3 linked regions of the Arabidopsis thaliana genome follow. The protein of the gene in region 1 interacts with the protein of each later gene in a biochemical or structural test. Each region holds a gene or a part of one and is shown on either strand. Other genes may lie near its edges.

Region 1 (6,775 bases):
GAATATCCATCTTCACTTTCCCACCTCCTCCTCCTCCATAATCAATCTCTCTACTAGTTGACCCTCCTTTACTACCATAGCTCCACGGCTTCTGCAGAGTCGACCAAGAGTATGCATCACCTCCCCACACATCTTCAGGTAGCTTCTTAGTGTCAGTCAAACAACAAGCGCCTCTACCACCATGTCCACCACCAGCACCATCAATCCCCTGCGGTGTCCCACTGGTCTGTGGCGGAGGGCTCCCAGCTAACCCCGTCGTGTTCACCGCCGACCCATTAGCAAAGCTAGCATTACCAGCTGTAAGCTCCAATGTCCCAGCGACAATTGTAGATTCCGCTCCCAAAGAGAAGTTTCCAGAAACATTGATAGCTATAGAACAACCAGGGATCGGGCAGTGAAACCTAACACCAGGCAGGATGATAAAATTCCCCTTCCCAGCTATATACACATCGTGCGTAAGGTTCAAATCGGCGACAATCTTACAAGTAGTATCCAAAAACCCAACGCCGCCGAGATCCTCGCTACAAGATACCGACGGTCCATGCGGTGGTGGCGGTGGCGGAGCAGGCGGAGAGTAGTCCTGATGGAAAAGTAACGACTCTGAATCTGAGTCCAAATCGGAATCAGAACCCGATTTCGGTTCCACAATGGTAAATCGATAGCTTGAACTAGGGTTTACGGCCAAAACCGCAAGAGCGACCAAGACGAAGACGCAGCAAAATTGAAATCGAGCCATCCACTAGTATCAAGAGTCATCACAGACGAAGTCTACTAAGGTTTTCGATTCAACCCCAATTCGGATCATTGAGAAGAATAAACTGGAAAAACCAACCTCAGAGACACAAATTCACAAACAAACCTTCTCTTCTAAATCTCCAACACACAACAACACTTATGCATACATCAACATACGCATGTATACGTATTTTAGTCGTCTCGTTGAAGAAGAAAAGCGCATAAACCTTCACCGAAAAATGGGGTCTTAGAGAGAGAAGTGGTGCTTTTCCTTTCTCGGAGGAGAGAGAAAGAGAGGGAAGGGAGCTTCCAAGAAGAAAAGAAAACACAGGTTGGAACGGAGAGTAGTTACGATCTGGTACGTGCAAGTTCACCGTAATCAGGTAAATCTTAACAAATCATACTACGCCACGTCATTCTTTAGATTGCTCTAAAAGGAAATACTACTGTGCATCGTGGTTCACATGGAACTGGATGTGGCAGCGGTATCCTAATTTATTTTGACATCGAATTAAATTAGGACACGTGTCTAACTACGTTTAATTACTCGCTTTGCTGTTGGATATTAAGGGGTTAATGACTTGGTTTTTAAAATTTTTAAAACGTCAGGAGTTACGTTCGGACATTGAAAGGTGTTAAGAATTGGGCTTTGATGGGCCCTGTTTGTGAAGGAGTTTGATATGGACGCGCCAAGATTTGAGCGTGAGTGTTTTTTGTTTGATATTGAGAAACAGAATGCGTGTGACCTGGACGAAGTAAAAACAAAAATTAAACAAATCTGGCTGGCCCAATAGAAAACTAGCAGCATTATCAACACCAACATTTTAATCCATCACACCAATCTTTCAATCACTTCGATTTTCACGTTCTAAATGCAAAATGGTATTTTTTTTCTAATGTCAATGTATGGTTCACCCAAAATGATAAGGTACTGTTGTGTATGCTAATTTCTAAACAACTTTATAGCTTCAAAGCATATGAAATCCAAAATTAGATTTTAGTGATTAGACTACATGTATTGGGGACACTCTATGTTCAAAGTAAGAGATTGTGCATGGTCAGCAAAAACTAATTTAAACTAGTGGGATACGTGATGTATAATCTGATATTACGTGGTTTATTGGTTGGTACCAGAGTTAAAAACAAATGCAATTTGACTCGTATATGACTCATCATGCTGACTTCTTCAATAAGACAATTGTAGTAGATATATTTAATATAGAAAAATGGGTATATAATGTTATAAACTTAATCTTATCTGACCAACAATATTCAACTGGATTATATTTTTTCCCCCAGAAAAGGATTTTATTGCATTAAACTTAAAACGTTTACAAAGTAAGGTATAGAAGAGAGTAATATGATCTTCACTAACAACATTCATTACTGGAAAAATTATATATATAATCCATTCGGAGCCATTTCGTTGAAGTGCTTTAAAGTATTCAACTAAATTATTTCGTGAAGTGGTTCGGATAAATTATATTTGGATAATATTTCGAAGAATTTACCTTAGGTCTTAAAACTCGTTGTGTTATTTACTGAAACGAAATGGATTCAATTTTTTTTTGTTGTATACATGTAGGTTATTGAACAACCCACCAATAGCCGTGACTATCGGAGACTGCGGATCAGGCTACGGTCAGGTCGAATTTACAGTCATTTGACGCCTTTAAAAACTAATTACGCGAGAAAATCGGTTCTAGCTGCTAACTTTTTATTTGTTGTTGCCTTTCATTGAAAAAAAAAAAACTCATAATACAAAGACGAGCCATCTCTGATTAGATCTACACTTCTCCTCGCACCAAAATTTTGCCAGTTTTCGTTCCTTTGTTCATAACATTTTCGCGGATTCCAAATGGATTTCATGAAGGTCTTCGATCAAACTGTTCGAGAGATGTGGGTTTTCCGTTTTCTCTATCGATCCAAATCCGTAGATCTTTGGTTTTATATATTTTTTCGATTGATCTCGATTCGTTTTCAATTACAGAAAAAGGGAGGTGAATCTGAAAGTTTTGAAGGTCCCTGAGATGGAGCAAAAGGTGAATTTATTTGATTCGTATCCATATGTGCAAATTGTATCCATGATTACTAGGCAAAATGATCGAAAACTTTCTATAGATTTAGCTATTGCACGAAAATAAAAATTGCTAGATCGAAAATCGACACTAATCCTGAATATTTGAGCTGGATTTGTTATGTTTCTGTGTTCGGATGCTGAGTTTCTTCACAGTTGCTATTTCCTAGAGATTAGATCCATCTTTGGGACTCACAAATATCGAGTTCATATTTCTATAGAAGATAAGCTTGAGCCGTCATGTAAACTTAAATTGGCGGCAATGTTTCATGGATTTTGAGTTTGATCATCTCTTCAAATTCAGTATTATGTGATACCCTTTCATAATTATATATGGCTATGTTTAGTACAGGTATTGGATGCTACAGATAATGAGCCTTGGGGTCCCCATGGTACTGCATTGGCAGAGATAGCTCAGGCCACGAAGAAATTGTAATCTCTGGCTTCATTTTCGTGATTCTACTTGGAAATATTTTTTTGATTTGCTATTGCTTAACATGTGCACTTGCCATATGTTTAGCTCGGAGTGCCAGATGGTTATGAGTGTTTTGTGGACTAGACTAAGTGAGACAGGAAAAGATTGGCGATATGTCTACAAGGTGAGTATCTTCTTGACGTTTTCCTACTGTATTTGGAAGTTTATAGTTTTGTTGTGTCCTGAGGTTTTTCTATTTCATTTCCTGCCAGGCATTGGCTGTTATTGATTATCTGATTTCGAATGGATCAGAACGAGCGGTTGATGAGATTATTGAGCATACTTACCAAATATCTGTCAGTTTATTTCTCTTTACATATTGATATGCAGTTCTCTCTAAGATTGTGTTTTTTTTACTGACTAGATCTTTGTCATCCATGTAGTCACTCACAAGTTTTGAGTATGTTGAACCAAATGGGAAAGATGTGGGAATCAACGTGAGAAAGAAGGCGGAAAACATAGTCGCTCTTTTAAATAATAAAGAGAAAATCTCAGAAATCAGAGACAAAGCAGTAGCAAATCGTAACAAGTTAGTTTTTACACAAGTGGAAATAATTGGTCTGACCGTTCTTCTTTCTACTTTGCCTTAAATCGTTTTTTTCTGCCTCCAATTAGGTATGTTGGCCTCTCATCAACGGGAATAACATATAAATCTGGTTCCTCAGCTTCATTTGGTGGTAGTTTTCAAAGTGGTTCAAGCAATTTTGACAGCTACAAGGATAGAGATTCCAGAGAAGACAAGAATGACTACGAGTCTTTTCAAAAGTCAAGACGTGGTGTTAAAACTGAGGAGCAAAGCTACACTTCTAAGAAGAGTTTTTCACGCTATGGCAGGTTTATGTCAACCCCATTCATTTTCTGATGTTCGTTACATATTTTGGGTAGACTATGGGAGTTTTCTTTTCCAAAAGAGGCTGCTTGTTTGCTTTTCTTTTCTTATTTCTGGTTTGGTTTATGACTCATTAGTCTCATTTTGTGTACCATTTTTCTGATGTCGAGTAAATTAATCGTGCAATCTTGCTCACTCGATTCCAATTCTGAATGTGCAGCACGGACCATGACAATCTATCCAGTGGTAAAAAGTCACCCGATTCTGCCAAACATAGGTCATATGTATCTGCAGCTCCTTCAAACAACGATGATGATTTTGATGATTTTGATCCACGGGGAACTTCCAGTAATAGTATGTTTCTCTCTACGACTGCTGAGTTTGCAGATTGTTTATCATTCATTCGGGAGAAAGTTGGTTTGATAAACATGTATTTATGATAGACATATGTGCATGTCTTACCTGTATGGTTTTTATTTTTGGCAGAGCCATCCACAGGCAGTGCCAACCAAGTGGACCTTTTTGGAGGAGATCTGATTGGTGACTTCTTGGATTCTGGGCCAACAGAAACATCTTCCACCAACAACAACGAGAACTTTCAAGAGGCGGACTTGTTTGCTGATGCAGCTTTTGTATCAGCCTCGGCTCAGGGAGCTGAATTTGGGTCACAGACACAGGTGGTGACTTCTTTCATCTAAGCTAGTATGCAGCTTTTAACAATGGAAAATTCCCTTATTAACTGTCCAGTTATGTGATGCAATTTCTCGCTAATTGACAAAAACGTTTGTCTGTTGAAGTCGTTCTTTACACCTCACAATTACTTGTGCTGTTGAATCGTTGACTGATGTGTTTCCGCATTTCTGTTTCTACAGAAACAAGTTGATCTTTTCTCTGCGTCTGAACCTTCTGTCACAGTTTCTTCAGCTCCTCCGACGGTTGATCTCTTTGCATCTTCTGAATCAGTTGTAAGCCCAGAAGCCAAGATATCAATACCTGAGTCTATGGCTACTCCCAACATTGTTGACCCATTTGCTGCAGTTCCTATGGATAATTTTGATGGATCAGATCCTTTTGGTGCCTTCACTTCCCACTCGGCTTCAGTTTCTACAGGTCCACAAGCTCCAAGTGTACATGGGAGTGCAACAAACACCACAAGCCCGCTGTCTTTCGCAGACTCGAAGCCACAACATTTGCAAAAGAAAGATCCTTTCCAGGTGAAATCAGGAATTTGGGCAGATTCGCTGAGCCGTGGACTGATTGATCTCAATATAACTGCTCGTAAGTCGTTACTTCCTCTTCTATCGAGAACTCTCTCATTTGATCTGCACTATAAGAAAAAAATGTTTTATTTTCTCATTAGATGCAGTCAAACCCAAAAGGTATAGTTGTTCGATTACATTCCAACTATTTTTCAAACAGTACATTCTACAAATCAAAATTCTTAGCTCACATAAAGTTCCAGTACCATGTAGCTTGTTTGCATGGTGTCACGACAAAGAAATTGTTGGGTTTTAGTTTCTAAGTTCGATTTTAGTCCTGATTATTATTTTCCCTGTAACCAGCCAAAAAAGCTTCTCTAGCTGATGTGGGTGTTGTGGGGGATCTGAGCAATGAAGATGGGAACAAAGCATCTGCTGCATCGTACTACTCAGGCTGGTCCATGGGTGCAGGATCCGGGCTTGGTAAAACTGGCCTATACAGTACACAGCAGCAGCAGCAACAACAACAACAACAACAAGCACCTGATATCTCAGACGATTTCTTCTCCAGCCTCAGTAACCAAAGGTACCAATCTGGTGGCTTTAAGCAGTGAAATTGTCTGTGATTTGGTGTTGAGATGAAAAGGCATATCAAGTTTGATTCTACATTCCATACTGGAAATGTAAGTTTTTTTAATGGGTTTGTTGTTCTTGCACTTCATTCATGGGACAATCTGGTCGGTGACTGATGTGCCATTGTTGTTGTGGCGTTTACTTTGGGTTTAAATGAGAGAGAGAAGAATTGTCTTTATGTTTTTTTTGATAAGAGAGTACTTTTATTATTGGTTTAAAGTTTCGATTTGTTCATAGAACAAAAGTATATGTATCTCTTCCCACTCAACAAATATTTTTTTTATCGCGTGTGATTCTTAATCCGAAAGAGACTCCAACTTTCTTCTCAGTTGTTTTATTCACATTCATATTGACCAAGTTCATTCTTAGTGATTATGTTAACACTAATCTTATCTTACACAATTTAGTTCTCCGGTCACGAATGATTAAAATATAGAATAGTCTTATCTACAAAGAAAATGAGTAGTTGTGACAAAAAAAAATAGTCCAACACCAAAATAAAAAATGTCATCTCTTCACTGGTTTCCCAATATCTTCATCGTTGTCGTCGTCTTCTTCTCCTTGAGAAGTTCACAAGTTGTACTAGAAGAAGAAGAATCCACAGTCGTTGGATACGGCTACGTCGTTAGATCAGTGGGCGTTGATTCTAACCGGCAAGTTTTGACGGCGAAGCTTGATCTGATAAAACCATCGTCCGTTTACGCACCAGATATTAAATCGCTTAATCTTCATGTCAGGTCATTATAATCTCCTCTCTCAAACCAATCTCCAAAAAAACTAAATTTAGCAAGTTTTTCAAACTAATTTAAAATGTGCGATTATATAGG
Region 2 (5,163 bases), about 12 Mb from region 1:
TCAAACTTGTGAAGAACCTCAAAAAAGTATGTCTTGATCAACGCGACGAAGTGAGAAACCATGCAATCTCAATGCTGCAACGAGCTATAGCCGGTGCAGACGGGATCATGTTACCACAACCTCTATGGTTCCAATGCTTTGATTCCGCAGTCTTCATATTGCTAGACGATGTGCTCACTTTTTCGATCGAGAATTCAAGGAAGACTCTCAAGAAAACAGTGGAAGAAACGCTTGTTCTCGCCACAAAGCTCATGTCAAAAGCTTTTCTGCAATCTCTTCAAGACATCTCACAGCAACCATCATTCTGCAGACTTTGGGTTGGTGTCTTAAACCGTTTGGAAACGTACATGTCAACTGAATTCAGAGGAAAACGCAGCGAGAAAGTCAATGAACTCATCCCGGAACTGCTCAAGAACACATTACTGGTAATGAAGGCGACGGGAGTTTTATTACCAGGTGATGATATCGGAAGTGACAGTTTCTGGCAACTAACGTGGCTTCACGTTAATAAGATCTCTCCTTCTCTTCAATCTGAAGTTTTCCCTCAAGAGGAGCTTGATCAGTTTCAGAGACGAAACGCGAAGCCTGAGGATCCTCCGGTACCGGGAAATGAGGTCTGAGACGGTTTTGGTGGAATAGAGAAAATTTGTTCTATACAGATGAAAAAGCTTAATCAAGGATATCAATTTTTTTTTTGCAGTATAGCTTTTTTGTTTTTAATATAGGGGGATTATAATACTTTGGAGTCTTGAGCTTTTGTTTTTTTTATGGAATGTTATGTTGAAATTATGGGTTTGATTGGAAATATATTTGGAGGCAATTTGGAAACTGCTGCGTCTATTATACAAAGAACTTGAAAAATTCAATGGTACTGACAAAGAAAAATGGTACTCATCAAAACCAGAAAAGAAAAGTAAATTTTTGGTCCAAATCTCACTATTTTAATAACATTTTTTAAAAACAAAGAATTAAGAACAAAAACAAAATGACCTATAAAATTTTGGACTCTAATTCTTGGCTTGTGTGACTTTATTAACAGTTAAATATTACAAATTTTCAAACTCTTAAAAATTTAAACTTTATAAAACGTTTTAAATATTTATAATTTATAAACTTTATGAAGTTTTAAATATTATAAATATTTGTTATAATTTTGAATGTTATAAATTTATAAACGAAAAGAACTTGAAAAATTCAATGAAAACGAGTAACGACAAAGAAAAATGATAATCATCAAAACCAAATCTCAATATTTTAATAACATTTAAAGTTTTTAAAAAACCCAAAAAATTAACTAGTAGGCCTGGGCATAATACCCGGAACCGAATATCCGAACCGAAAAACCCGAAAAATAACCAAACCGAACCCGAATCCGATTTTTAGAATTACCCGAATGGGTCCTCGACCTTACTACCCGAAAAAACCCGAACCGAACCCGAACCGAATCTAATACCCGTGGGTACCCGAATACGAATGTAACTTAAATATATTAGTTATATATATATATTTGTAATACCTCAAATACCAAAATTAAAATTATAAATCCGATTATACTAGATTTTTTTAGTAATTCATATATATTTGGATATATTTGGGTAAAAGTAACAAATGTTATAGTTTTCTTTTAGATAATTTAAGTATTTTGGTTACATTTGGTTATATTTGTATAAAAAGTAACCAATATATTTACGGGTAATTGGGTATTTCGGGTTGATTTGGGTATATATGAATAAAAAAACCGAATCTAACCCGAACCCAAAAATATTTTGGGTATTTTTGGTTATTTTTACATTTTTACTAAAATAACCGAACCGACCCAAACCCGAACCGAAACCGAACCGAATTTTTAGAATACTCGAATGGTTCTCAACCTCCTACCCGAATAGACCCAATACCCGGAAAAAAAAACGAACCCGAACGGGTACCCGAATGCCCACGCCTCAATTAAGAACAGAAAAAGAAAAAAACTAACTTTCAGTGACCTATAAAAGTTTGGGCCCTAGAAGAGTCTTTTCGCAACACCAAAAATGGCAGATCCGCAAGCCCAACAAGGCAGTGGCATTGCCAAAAGATCTGGACAAAAAAAAGGCCAAGTGGTGTACAAAGCCTAGATGTAGGATATAATTACTCAACCGTCGAACATATTTTCCATAGATCATTCATAGACGTACGCATCATCAAATCAATTCATCGTCGTCTTCCACAATTGTCATCACCGATCGATTTTCCGACTCCGACGTACCTCCTCTTCCCCGTTACCTTCTCAGGTCTCAATCTGGCTTTCTCTATTTTTCGCCTAATTCCTCTTTTTCTGATTGTGATTCTGCTTTCTAATTTTGATCCTAATTTTTTGTGCTTATACTCCGGCTAAACTCTTCCATTTGTTCCGATCACCGGAATTTTCGTCACTTATTCGTCATCCTTTTTCTCTTTTGATCCGTCAATTTTACTTTTCTGTCTTTTTTTTTTCTCCTTTTTCCCCGTGTTGACATTTCTTTCTTCTGTACGTGATCTAGTTATCTTAGGGTTTTGGACTGCTATACAAAACAATCAATTGATTTTAGTTTTATCTTTTGAATCGTTGTAAGAATTTCAATAGCCTAGTCTTGTTGATGGTTTTGGGCTATTGAATCTGTTCTTAAAGTTTCAGCTTAATGTAATCTGTTCTTAATCAGAATTAGGGTTCATCATCATTGTGTGTGTTGCTGATTCTGCAGAGTTTTTAGTAGTCTTCCTTTGGAACAATGAGTGACGTGTTTGATGGATATGAGCGACAATACTGTGAGCTCTCGGCGAGTCTTTCAAAGAAGTGTTCCTCTGCTATTTCGCTTGATGGAGGTAAAATTGTTACTCTAATCTTTTCTAAGATGTGATACTTTTCCTACTCAGGCATTGCCTTACCTTCCTTAAGATTTGAAATAACTAATTCTGGTTTAGCTTATGAATGTAACAATGTACGAATTAGAGATATCTTGGTTTGTGTTTTTGATGCAGAGTATTGTGCGATTTAGATCCTTTAATTACTACTTCGTTGTAAGGACATAGTATTGGTTTCTGATTACGAAGAGAGCTTGTGATTAGTATTGGTCGCTGATCATCGCCATTTTTTTACACTGGGGATACTTCGGTTTTTGTTTGTTACTGAGAACGATTCTATAGATAGTTTGGTTTGTGTTTGATGACTATAAACTTCTTGTCTCCTTCATGTGTTGCTAGGACATAGTAGTGTGCCTTTCTTTTGCTTTCTTTGGAGATTGTGATTAGTAGTGTTCGCTGATCATCGGGATTGTTTTTTTTCCCCTAGATGAGTATGCTCTGTTGATTGCATAGATAAAAATGCATTGATGATACCTTATTAATTTGCAGAACAAAAGAAGCAGAAGTTGTCTGAAATAAAATCCGGGCTGGAAAATGCAGAAGTATTGGTATGTGATATGCGTAACGTGAAGTTATAGAAGCTTCTCTATTGTCCATTATTCATTTTGATGCTTCTCTGTCCTTTTCTTCACCAGATTAGGAAAATGGATCTCGAGGCAAGGACCCTTCCACCTAATCTTAAGTCCAGCCTCCTTGTCAAATTAAGAGAATTCAAGTCTGATCTGAACAATTTCAAAACTGAAGTGAAGAGAATCACATCTGGACAGTTGAACGCTGCTGCTCGTGATGAGTTGCTAGAAGCTGGTATGGCTGACACAAAGACGGTATGTAAAGGACTCGGTAGTATTGTTTCAATTTTATCTCATCTCATATCTTTGCTATTAAAACGACCTATGATTTTCTTTTTTTATTGAAACGCTGAGATCAGGCTTCAGCTGATCAGAGAGCAAGATTGATGATGTCAACTGAGCGTCTGGGCCGAACCACTGACAGAGTCAAGGACAGTCGTAGAACAATGATGGAGACTGAAGAAATCGGTGTTTCAATCCTCCAAGACTTGCACGGTCAGAGACAGTCTCTCTTACGTGCCCACGAAACGGTATTGTCTCTCTGCAACACATTTACTCCATATTCTCAACGATATTCTGAACAAAGTGACAAAATAAGATGAGAATTAAGGGCTATATCATAAAGAAGACTATGTTTTCTTGTTTTCTTTATCAACGCTGGATTGATATCGCGCTAACCAAAATTTAGAACTCTGTTGACAGCTTCATGGAGTAGACGATAACATTGGAAAGAGCAAGAAGATCTTGACAGACATGACGAGGAGGATGAACAAGAACAAATGGACCATTGGAGCCATCATCATCGCATTGATTGCCGCCATTTTCATCATCTTGTACTTCAAACTCACCAAGTAAGCCTCTGTAACTAAATCCGACCAAATCAAAGAACAACGGTTGTTTTCGTTTTGTGAGTCTTTGATTTATCCTGTTTCTTCTTTTTGTGTGAAAAGTTGTTTTGCCACCTTTGTATTCTAAATTTGACCATACATACTTTAAGCAAGTAAAGCTTCGGCCTAAGTGTCACGTATATTGTTTATATTGTTCATATCAAATCCAGAACTATACATGGTTAAACATTGAGATTAAAAGCCTCAATTATTTCAAACAATCGAGGTCTACATCTCGCACAATTGTTCATATATTGGATCTAGAACTATACATGATCAAACATTGATATCAATTACTAGTGTTTTTTTCTTTCATATTTGAATTTGCTATAATCAGCGACCAAGCTCTCAATAACCCTATGCTTCATGTTATCCACCAAACCGGCCAAAATCTGTAAAGGGCCAATCAAAAACATAAATCATGTATAAACCCGGAACACAGCATTTTGAGTCTCCAATCGCATATATGAAACAAGACAGTTTCTTACCGCATTGGCCATGTTTCTCCTAACATCTTCTGGTACAAGCGCGAGAACTGAAGGAAGCACGAAGCTAATGGTCGTTTCTAGTCGACCTTTGAGCCTCGTGTGCCTTCCACGCCGGTCTGGGTATAATGCTCCTTTTACTCCAAGAGTGAAATCAGTTGGTTCCATTACTCGGTCAAGCCCTTGAAGCTCCCATTTCGTCTGAAAATCGTAATTCAAATGTTAAATCAATAAAAATTCTGACTAGTGAATTTGTGATTCATGTGGTGGTACAAATATAATATTACCATGTTGAGCTCAAGAACTTTGGTTATGTGTAGAGGTACGTCTGATGGGTAATCCTGA
Region 3 (7,756 bases), on another chromosome or scaffold:
GAGAAGAAGGTCAGAACTTGTTCCCCCAATTTGGTTAGGAGAAGCTTCCATGTCATGATGAACGAGAGGTGGTTCACTTCTTCCTGTCTATAACGATTTGGTTTAAGAGATTTGATATGTTGATTATACACTAGTATGTAATATGAGGATAGATTAAAAAAAACTTACATGACGGATGACGTAAGGGCGAACAGCAAATCCAATGGCTACCCCGAGAATGCAGGAAAGGACAATCCCTATTGACCAAAGAGAGTATGTCCCCAAATCTGAAACAGTGAAAGAAGAATCGTTGAAGTTTCCAAAGGCATGGTTAGTCAAATCCACAAAAGATTACTTATAGAAAAGACATACTAGAATGAGAGTTTTCGAGGCAATCCTCCTCCTTAAGATTTATCTGGCGAATCATTTCATTTCCATGATCAGAAACAAGCAAACAACATCTTTGAGGAACAAAAGTTATCTCGAAATCGCTAGAGAAAGTAGCATTCTGTGCAGGTCCATCTCTGTGTCCAAATGCCTTTGAGATCCCTCCAGCAATGGTGGTTACAGAACCTACAAAGTCCAGTAAATAAAACATGCATAATCAAAATAAACTAAGTGGCTCTTTCAACAAACTAAGATTAGACAACAACAACAACTAGCATTTATACAAAAGGAATACAAGAAATGGATTAAACAAACACCTGAAGAGCTGATCTTCCGTATAGCTTTATTACTCTTATCAGCAACATAAACATTCCCTTTAGCATCCACAGCAAAACCACGGGGTTTGCTGAACCGGCTGTTACCAGCTTTACCATCTACATGACCCGAACTCCCATCCCCAGCAAACCGGTTTATCACACTATCTGCACAACCACACACACATACTCAAAGTGAGCTCAAACTTCAATTGAAAGAAAGATAAACAAAATTTTCACTTATAGTAAAGTTTAGAACTTTTATTTGCAGGTTGATCGTTTCACACACATACACACACATATTAGTATTGTGGTCCAATTTGAGATTACGGAGAAAGAAAAAATGAAGGTCAAGACTTGCAATCAAAATCAACAAGCTCTAAACATTTACTTATGCATCCATGAATTTACAACTCATATACAAACACAATTATAATGATCCGATTAATAGATGAGACAAAAGAGTGGTTTTGTGGGTGTTTACCAACGGACAAAGGAAAGGAAGTAGTGTAAAATGTACTGCCGGAAGAATCAAGGACGATCAGATTAGAAGATCCTGGTAAAGCATGAATCGTGTATGGATTCAGACCAGACTTATGGCCATCGACCACCGTTGTGACTTCGTACCCTTCTTCTAAAACTATCTTACCACTCACTGTAACAAAATCATGAGGAAAATTAAAAATTCGAATTTTGGGTTGGGAAATTCAACTGAATTAACAGATTTTTGAAAATATACCCAGATTGAAAACGACGAACAAGAAGAGAGACACGGACGAAAATCCCCAAGCCATGTCAAAATCGAGAGGAGAAAGCGACTGTTCTGTGTAACTTGTGTTGTGTTACTTATTTTTGCTGCTTAGCATCTTTAAAGGTTTTAAAAAGATACTAGGGCCTGAGCGATACTATGATGTGTTCAAGTGTAGGGGAGAATTTGTGTAACAACCAATGAAAGAGCGCGTATCATCGACCCTCTCAAATTTGACTAATAAAAACGGCCCAAGTAGGGCCCATTTATGTGTTTAACTATAAAGAAACGGCCCAGTCTATGTTTTTGTTTTGAGAGGATTGCTGGTCGAAACGTTACCGTTTAGGTGGAAATGGAAGTCATGTTTATACAACGCATTTAATTTGGCAATTATGGTTTACGAAGACTGAGAAGAAAAAAACGAGCATCGTCCATCGAGATCCAAATCCTCAGTTTCATTTTCATCTCTCTCTCTCGTATTGATCAGCTACTCGAAACTCCGGTAACGGATTTTCACAATCCCGGCGGCGAAACTCTTCTTCCCGGCTAAGTTTTCATTTTCTTCAGATTCCTCGTAAAGTTGCCGGTGGACCAAGGTCCAACTCTTGAACACCCCAAATCATGAATCCCTTTTCTTCTGGTACTCGTTTAAGGTAAATTGATTCTCTTCTTTCCTTTTTATCGTTTCTGTTTCAGGTTTCTTAGTCGTTGATCAGCTTACAAATGAAATTTGAATATAACATGATGTAATTGAGCTCGTTTTCATTTGAGGATTGAATTTTGTTGATTGGCCTGTTTCGAAGATGAATTTGGTATTGGTGTTTCTGATTCCATTTAGAATTTTGATTTTAGTCTAAGAACATGATCACACTAAGGATTTTTGGTAATCCTTTTGCTTAATTTAATTGAATATTGGATTGGTCATGTTGCTGTTGGGGTTTAATAGTGGAATCAGATCGGATTATTGTATATGGTTCTGAAGTTATAGTGGACATATGAGTATGATTCAGGGACATGATCCGTGCCATAAGAGCATGCAAAACAGCTGCGGAGGAGCGAGCTGTTGTAAGAAAGGAGTGTGCCGATATTCGAGCATTGATTAATGAAGATGACCCGCATGATCGGCACCGGAACCTTGCGAAACTCATGTTTATACACATGCTGGGTTATCCCACACACTTTGGGCAGATGGAGTGCTTGAAGCTAATTGCATCTCCTGGATTTCCAGAGAAGAGGATTGGATATCTAGGGCTAATGTTGCTTCTTGATGAGAGACAAGAAGTGTTGATGCTTGTCACAAATTCGTTAAAACAGTATCCTTACTAATTTCTAGTATTAAATCTTGATACCTTGGCCTTTGAATGGATTCTTCTTCTATGTTAAAAAATACTAGAGAACACTTGATTTTTGATTGCATTGCTGTTATGGGAATTAAGGAGAAAAATATTTAAATAGATTTGTTCCTGTTTAACCTTAAGTCACGTGCAGAGATCTTAATCACTCGAACCAGTATGTTGTAGGACTTGCTCTCTGTGCTTTAGGGAATATTTGTTCAGCAGAAATGGCCCGTGATCTTGCGCCAGAAGTAGAAAGATTAATCCAGTTTCGTGACCCTAATATCCGAAAGAAGGTGAAGTGTTTTCTAATTCATATACAGGGTCTCCTGGAGTTTAGTCGCTTTTTTTTTTTCCTTCATTGCCTTTACCATTTATGTTGTATTATATGCAGGCGGCGCTTTGCTCTACTAGAATAATAAGGAAAGTTCCAGATCTAGCAGAAAACTTCGTAAATGCTGCTGCTTCCTTGCTTAAAGAAAAGCATCATGGGGTTCTTATAACAGGAGTTCAACTTTGTTATGAATTATGCACGATTAATGATGAAGCCCTAGAGTACTTCAGAACGGTAAGTCTATAAATATTATACAGAACACTCTACTTATGCATACAGGAGCATCGACGTAATTTAATTGAATATGCGTACATATGATACTATATTACCTGTATGATGCTTTTGTGTACTATTTTTCTCTTGCAATAAAGTTTGATATCTGTGGTATTCACTTATAAATAGATTACTCTGCTGAAATGAGGCAGACAATCAGGTTGTTATATTGTTTTATCAGACCGTCAGTTTTGACAAACCCTTGTCTTTGTTTTGTCTCTGCAGAAATGCACAGAGGGACTGATAAAAACTTTGAGGGATATTACTAATAGCGCATATCAGCCTGAGTATGATGTTGCAGGGATCACAGACCCTTTTCTCCACATACGGTTGCTCAGGCTCTTGCGTGTTTTAGGCCAGGGTGATGCTGATGCTAGTGATTTGATGACAGATATACTTGCACAGGTTAGTCATAGTTTAGCAAGTGATTCTGGATATGGTTGACCATCTTCACATTTGCGATGTAATTCCTTTGTTAAACATCAACGGTTTATGGTTTTTGTTCCAGTTACCTTACATATATTTTTTCGGAAAAATGTTGTAAGATAGCTATGCTCTCTCATGTGCTGGAACTGATTCTGTTAAATATAGCATAATGGAGAAAGAATTTCATTTCGTTGATAGGGTTCATGGGCTATTATTCTCTTTGGTAGATAGAAGACTTATTGGTTACTGAGTTTTTGCCGTACTTGAATTCTCCCTCTTTTGATACCGGTCTTTGTTGTCATAGTAAGTGTTGATTTGTGGACGGACATATAAATCTGTAGGCTGCGCCAATCCTTTTCTATCTCACCATGATGAATGCATCCTGCGTCTGTTACATGCTTTGTTTTGGAAATCTTTTGAGTTCAAAGTCAGGGATCTACTGTCGGATACTTTGTTATCCTGGTTCTTTGATATTTATTCTCGTTGGTTTCATGCTATTGTAGGTGGCAACAAAAACTGAATCAAACAAAAACGCAGGGAATGCGGTACTCTATGAGTGTGTTGAAACAATCATGGCCATTGAAGACACCAATAGCTTGCGTGTGCTTGCTATCAATATCTTGGGAAGATTCTTATCTAACCGCGACAATAACATCAGGTTCAACCCCCTACACCTCAATTTTATTTGATAATAGTATGGTATTATATATGTTTGTAATGGAACTAGCTTACTTGTATTTTTCTTCTGTCTATCATCTTTCTTTGGATGTGCTTAACTCTATGAAGCACACAATGCTCTTCTGACCAACCAGCGTTGCCTTTTCTAATCTTGATTTCGTTTCTCTCAAAAACGCTGCATTCCCTTATGAAATTCATACTTTCGTTCTCTCAGATATGTTGCATTAAACATGCTGATGAAAGCTATCACTTTCGATGATCAAGCAGTGCAAAGGCACAGAGTTACAATTTTGGAATGTGTGAAGGTATTAGTATTACCAGGAAAATATTTTATACAATGTTAACTGCTAAGTATATCTTAGAGAAATAAAAAATGCTAATTTGGTTTCTGCTTCCATAACAATATAGGACCCAGATGCTTCTATCCGGAAAAGAGCTCTTGAGCTTGTCACTCTTTTGGTGAATGAAAACAATGTCACACAACTGACAAAGGAGCTAATTGATTATTTGGAAATCAGCGACGAAGATTTTAAGGAAGATCTTAGTGCAAAAATTTGTTTTATCGTTGAAAAGTAAGTATTCTATTTAAGAAATAGAATGACTACTTACTCTGAGAAAGTTGGGGGTCAGGATGATTGGAAAGTTACTGTGAATGTCTAGTTGATTGAAGTTTTTGTTGACTTTTTAAATTTTTTGATAATGTAGGTTTTCTCCAGAAAAACTATGGTACATTGATCAGATGCTCAAGGTTCTGTGTGAGGTATGGATTCAAACGCGAGAATATGCTCTGTAACGTGTTACCAGTTAATTGCACTCTTTGAAATCGTTTGAGAGTTTATATCTGCTTAAGCTAATTTCAAATGCATTGTTTGTATCTGTCATAACCTATTGTCATCTATTCCATGTTAGTAGGCTGGAAAGTTTGTGAAAGATGATGTGTGGCATGCACTTATTGTTGTCATAAGCAATGCATCAGAGCTTCATGGATATACAGTTAGGGCCTTGTACAAATCAGTCTTGACTTATTCGGAACAGGTAGCTATTTTCTAATGTTAGATTGTGCTCAGTCCTCAATCAGTTGTAACCCTTTCTAATATGGTTTCGTTGAGATGATAACCAGGAGACCCTTGTCCGAGTGGCGGTATGGTGCATTGGGGAATATGGTGATCTGTTGGTTAACAATGTGGGGATGCTTGGTATTGAAGATCCAATAACGGTGAGCATCACAATGGCAATCTTAATTCATTATTTGCTCCATGATAAATATGCAGATGCTTTTGCTTCTTGGGATTTCATTTTTGCTTTGAAAAATATGCAACGAGTATGTGACTGCCTTGAGCAGGTAACGGAATCTGATGCAGTGGACGTTATCGAGGATGCCATTACTCGCCATAACTCAGATTCGACTACAAAAGCAATGGCATTGGTTGCTCTACTGAAGTTGTCATCCCGCTTTCCTTCTATTTCAGAGTATGTCTGACCTCGTTGTGCTATCTGTTTTTATCTCAACTCGTTCATCTGATATCTGCACTTATCCCTTTTCAACTCTACACAAGATGCATATGCGCACTAGTATATGAATAATAAATTTTGGTCTGTCTACAAGAAACTGTAGCGCGTTGCCTTCTGAAAAAAGATTAGAAATATATTATACATGTACATCCTGTCCTCAACTCTCTATTGATAATTAAAAAGTTTTCTAAAATTCAATGACAGGAGAATTAAAGACATAATTGTGAAGCAGAAAGGAAGCCTTCTCCTTGAAATGCAGCAGAGAGCTATTGAATACAATTCTATAGTTGACAGGCATAAAAATATCAGGTGGAATCCCTTGTGCCTCTCTTCCTCATCTATCTTCTAGTGTAAGTTTTTCATATTCTCTCTCCCTCAAAGCTCATGATAGAGGTATGTGTGCATACAGGTCTTCTCTGGTTGACAGAATGCCGGTACTGGATGAGGCTACTTTCAATGTGAGGAGGGCCGGCTCTTTTCCTGCATCAGTTTCAACCATGGCCAAGCCTTCAGTTAGCCTTCAAAATGGTGTTGAGAAACTTCCTGTCGCTCCTCTTGTGGACTTGCTAGACCTAGATTCTGACGATATCATGGCTGCACCTAGTCCATCTGGTACAGATTTCCTTCAGGATCTTCTCGGTGTAGACTTAGGTTCATCGTCAGCACAATATGGTTAGTTCTTTGGCGGTTCTACAGCTCTTGCGTTCATATTATGGCGTGCTCATCTGCTATGTGTCTCTGAATGAACAAGTTTTTAAAAAAATCATTTTCCTCATTGCCTTGCAAAAGGATAACTCATGTTTGGTCTTCCATTTTTTATCCAATGATTCAGGTGCAACCCAGGCTCCAAAAGCTGGCACAGATCTGTTGCTGGATATTCTATCAATTGGAACACCTTCTCCTGCACAAAACAGCACATCATCTATTGGTTTATTATCAATAGCTGACGTTAACAATAATCCCTCAATTGCGCTAGACACACTTTCTTCACCAGCTCCACCTCACGTAGCAACAACTTCGTCCACCGGTATGTTTGATTTGCTAGATGGTCTTTCTCCAAGCCCATCGAAGGAAGGTAGGAAAAAGTCTTAACCTGAAAAAGATCTGTATAATCATTGAAACTCTTTTACAAAGGTCAATAACAAGTTTTCCTCCTTATTGCAGCCACCAATGGTCCAGCTTATGCACCTATTGTTGCATACGAGAGCAGCTCCTTGAAGATTGAGTTCACCTTCTCAAAGACACCAGGGAATCTGCAAACGACAAATGTCCAGGCTACTTTTACTAATTTATCTCCCAATACTTTCACAGATTTTATATTCCAGGCTGCTGTTCCAAAGGTAATTACATCTATCTTCTTTTTTTGCTTTTTTCCCCTTTATTCATCTTTCCCAATTGATAAAGCAGTAAATAGATTTCAATTTTTTCTTTAACCTTCTCTTTCTTTTGTGTAACTTCCAGTTCCTCCAGCTGCACTTGGATCCAGCTAGCAGTAACACACTCCTGGCAAGCGGTAGTGGTGCCATCACGCAGAATCTAAGAGTCACTAACAGCCAGCAGGGGAAGGTATGGCACATTCTCTGTTCGTCTTTCTATCTAACTTTATGTCTTCAACATTCCGTGCTCAGCATTGATGAATAGCACTTGATGATCCACAACATAATCTATGCTCAAATAAAGATAGGCTGAGCCTGTGGATTCAGTGACTTAACATAACACTAAGGGTTTAATGTTTATTGCAGAAATCTCTTGTGATGCGCATGAGGATTGG

What was found.
Region 2: the proteins of AT5G11710 (region 1) and SGR4 form a complex in vitro, tested with the Arabidopsis thaliana proteins (one study listed by BioGRID).
Region 3: the proteins of AT5G11710 (region 1) and GAMMA-ADAPTIN 1 form a complex in vitro, tested with the Arabidopsis thaliana proteins (one study listed by BioGRID).

What each region holds. Positions count from the first base shown.
Region 1 is NC_003076.8:3,770,388-3,777,162, forward strand, and holds AT5G11710 (ENTH/VHS family protein), read left to right. Parts: upstream 1-2,013; 5' UTR 2,014-2,078; intron 2,079-2,182; exon of another isoform or gene 2,183-2,204; intron 2,205-2,230; exon of another isoform or gene 2,231-2,320; 5' UTR 2,321-2,593; coding exon 2,594-2,634; intron 2,635-2,725; coding exon 2,726-2,777; intron 2,778-3,164; coding exon 3,165-3,244; intron 3,245-3,332; coding exon 3,333-3,411; intron 3,412-3,499; coding exon 3,500-3,583; intron 3,584-3,670; coding exon 3,671-3,816; intron 3,817-3,902; coding exon 3,903-4,121; intron 4,122-4,336; coding exon 4,337-4,470; intron 4,471-4,602; coding exon 4,603-4,793; intron 4,794-4,988; coding exon 4,989-5,394; intron 5,395-5,678; coding exon 5,679-5,929; 3' UTR 5,930-6,275; downstream 6,276-6,775. Other genes in the region: AT5G11700 (ephrin type-B receptor), read right to left, coding at 1-736; AT5G11720 (Glycosyl hydrolases family 31 protein), read left to right, coding at 6,453-6,685. UniProt on the Arabidopsis thaliana protein: May have a role in transport via clathrin-coated vesicles from the trans-Golgi network to endosomes. Stimulates clathrin assembly. Does not seem to bind to phospholipids.
Region 2 is NC_003076.8:15,819,291-15,824,453, forward strand, and holds SGR4 (Vesicle transport v-SNARE family protein), read left to right. Parts: upstream 1-2,002; 5' UTR 2,003-2,267; intron 2,268-2,717; 5' UTR 2,718-2,744; coding exon 2,745-2,838; intron 2,839-2,928; exon of another isoform or gene 2,929-3,147; intron 3,148-3,366; coding exon 3,367-3,425; intron 3,426-3,512; coding exon 3,513-3,701; intron 3,702-3,805; coding exon 3,806-3,976; intron 3,977-4,148; coding exon 4,149-4,301; 3' UTR 4,302-4,550; downstream 4,551-5,163. Other genes in the region: GNL1 (GNOM-like 1), read left to right, coding at 1-620; AT5G39520 (hypothetical protein (DUF1997)), read right to left, coding at 4,630-4,725, 4,822-5,019, 5,106-5,163. UniProt on the Arabidopsis thaliana protein: Functions as a v-SNARE responsible for targeting AtELP-containing vesicles from the trans-Golgi network (TGN) to the prevacuolar compartment (PVC) and mediates liposome fusion. May be also involved in retrograde traffic to the cis-Golgi.
Region 3 is NC_003070.9:8,439,330-8,447,085, forward strand, and holds the start of GAMMA-ADAPTIN 1 (gamma-adaptin 1), read left to right. Parts: upstream 1-1,749; 5' UTR 1,750-2,049; coding exon 2,050-2,081; intron 2,082-2,124; exon of another isoform or gene 2,125-2,438; coding exon 2,439-2,741; intron 2,742-2,916; coding exon 2,917-3,058; intron 3,059-3,156; coding exon 3,157-3,330; intron 3,331-3,594; coding exon 3,595-3,774; intron 3,775-4,298; coding exon 4,299-4,453; intron 4,454-4,687; coding exon 4,688-4,778; intron 4,779-4,881; coding exon 4,882-5,045; intron 5,046-5,178; coding exon 5,179-5,233; intron 5,234-5,385; coding exon 5,386-5,508; intron 5,509-5,593; coding exon 5,594-5,689; intron 5,690-5,815; coding exon 5,816-5,943; intron 5,944-6,189; coding exon 6,190-6,294; intron 6,295-6,394; coding exon 6,395-6,657; intron 6,658-6,817; coding exon 6,818-7,060; intron 7,061-7,149; coding exon 7,150-7,325; intron 7,326-7,446; coding exon 7,447-7,551; intron 7,552-7,727; coding exon 7,728-7,756. Other genes in the region: AT1G23890 (NHL domain-containing protein), read right to left, coding at 1-83, 169-266, 352-552, 684-848, 1,165-1,335, 1,420-1,474. UniProt on the Arabidopsis thaliana protein: Subunit of clathrin-associated adaptor protein complex 1 that plays a role in protein sorting at the trans-Golgi network and early endosomes (TGN/EE).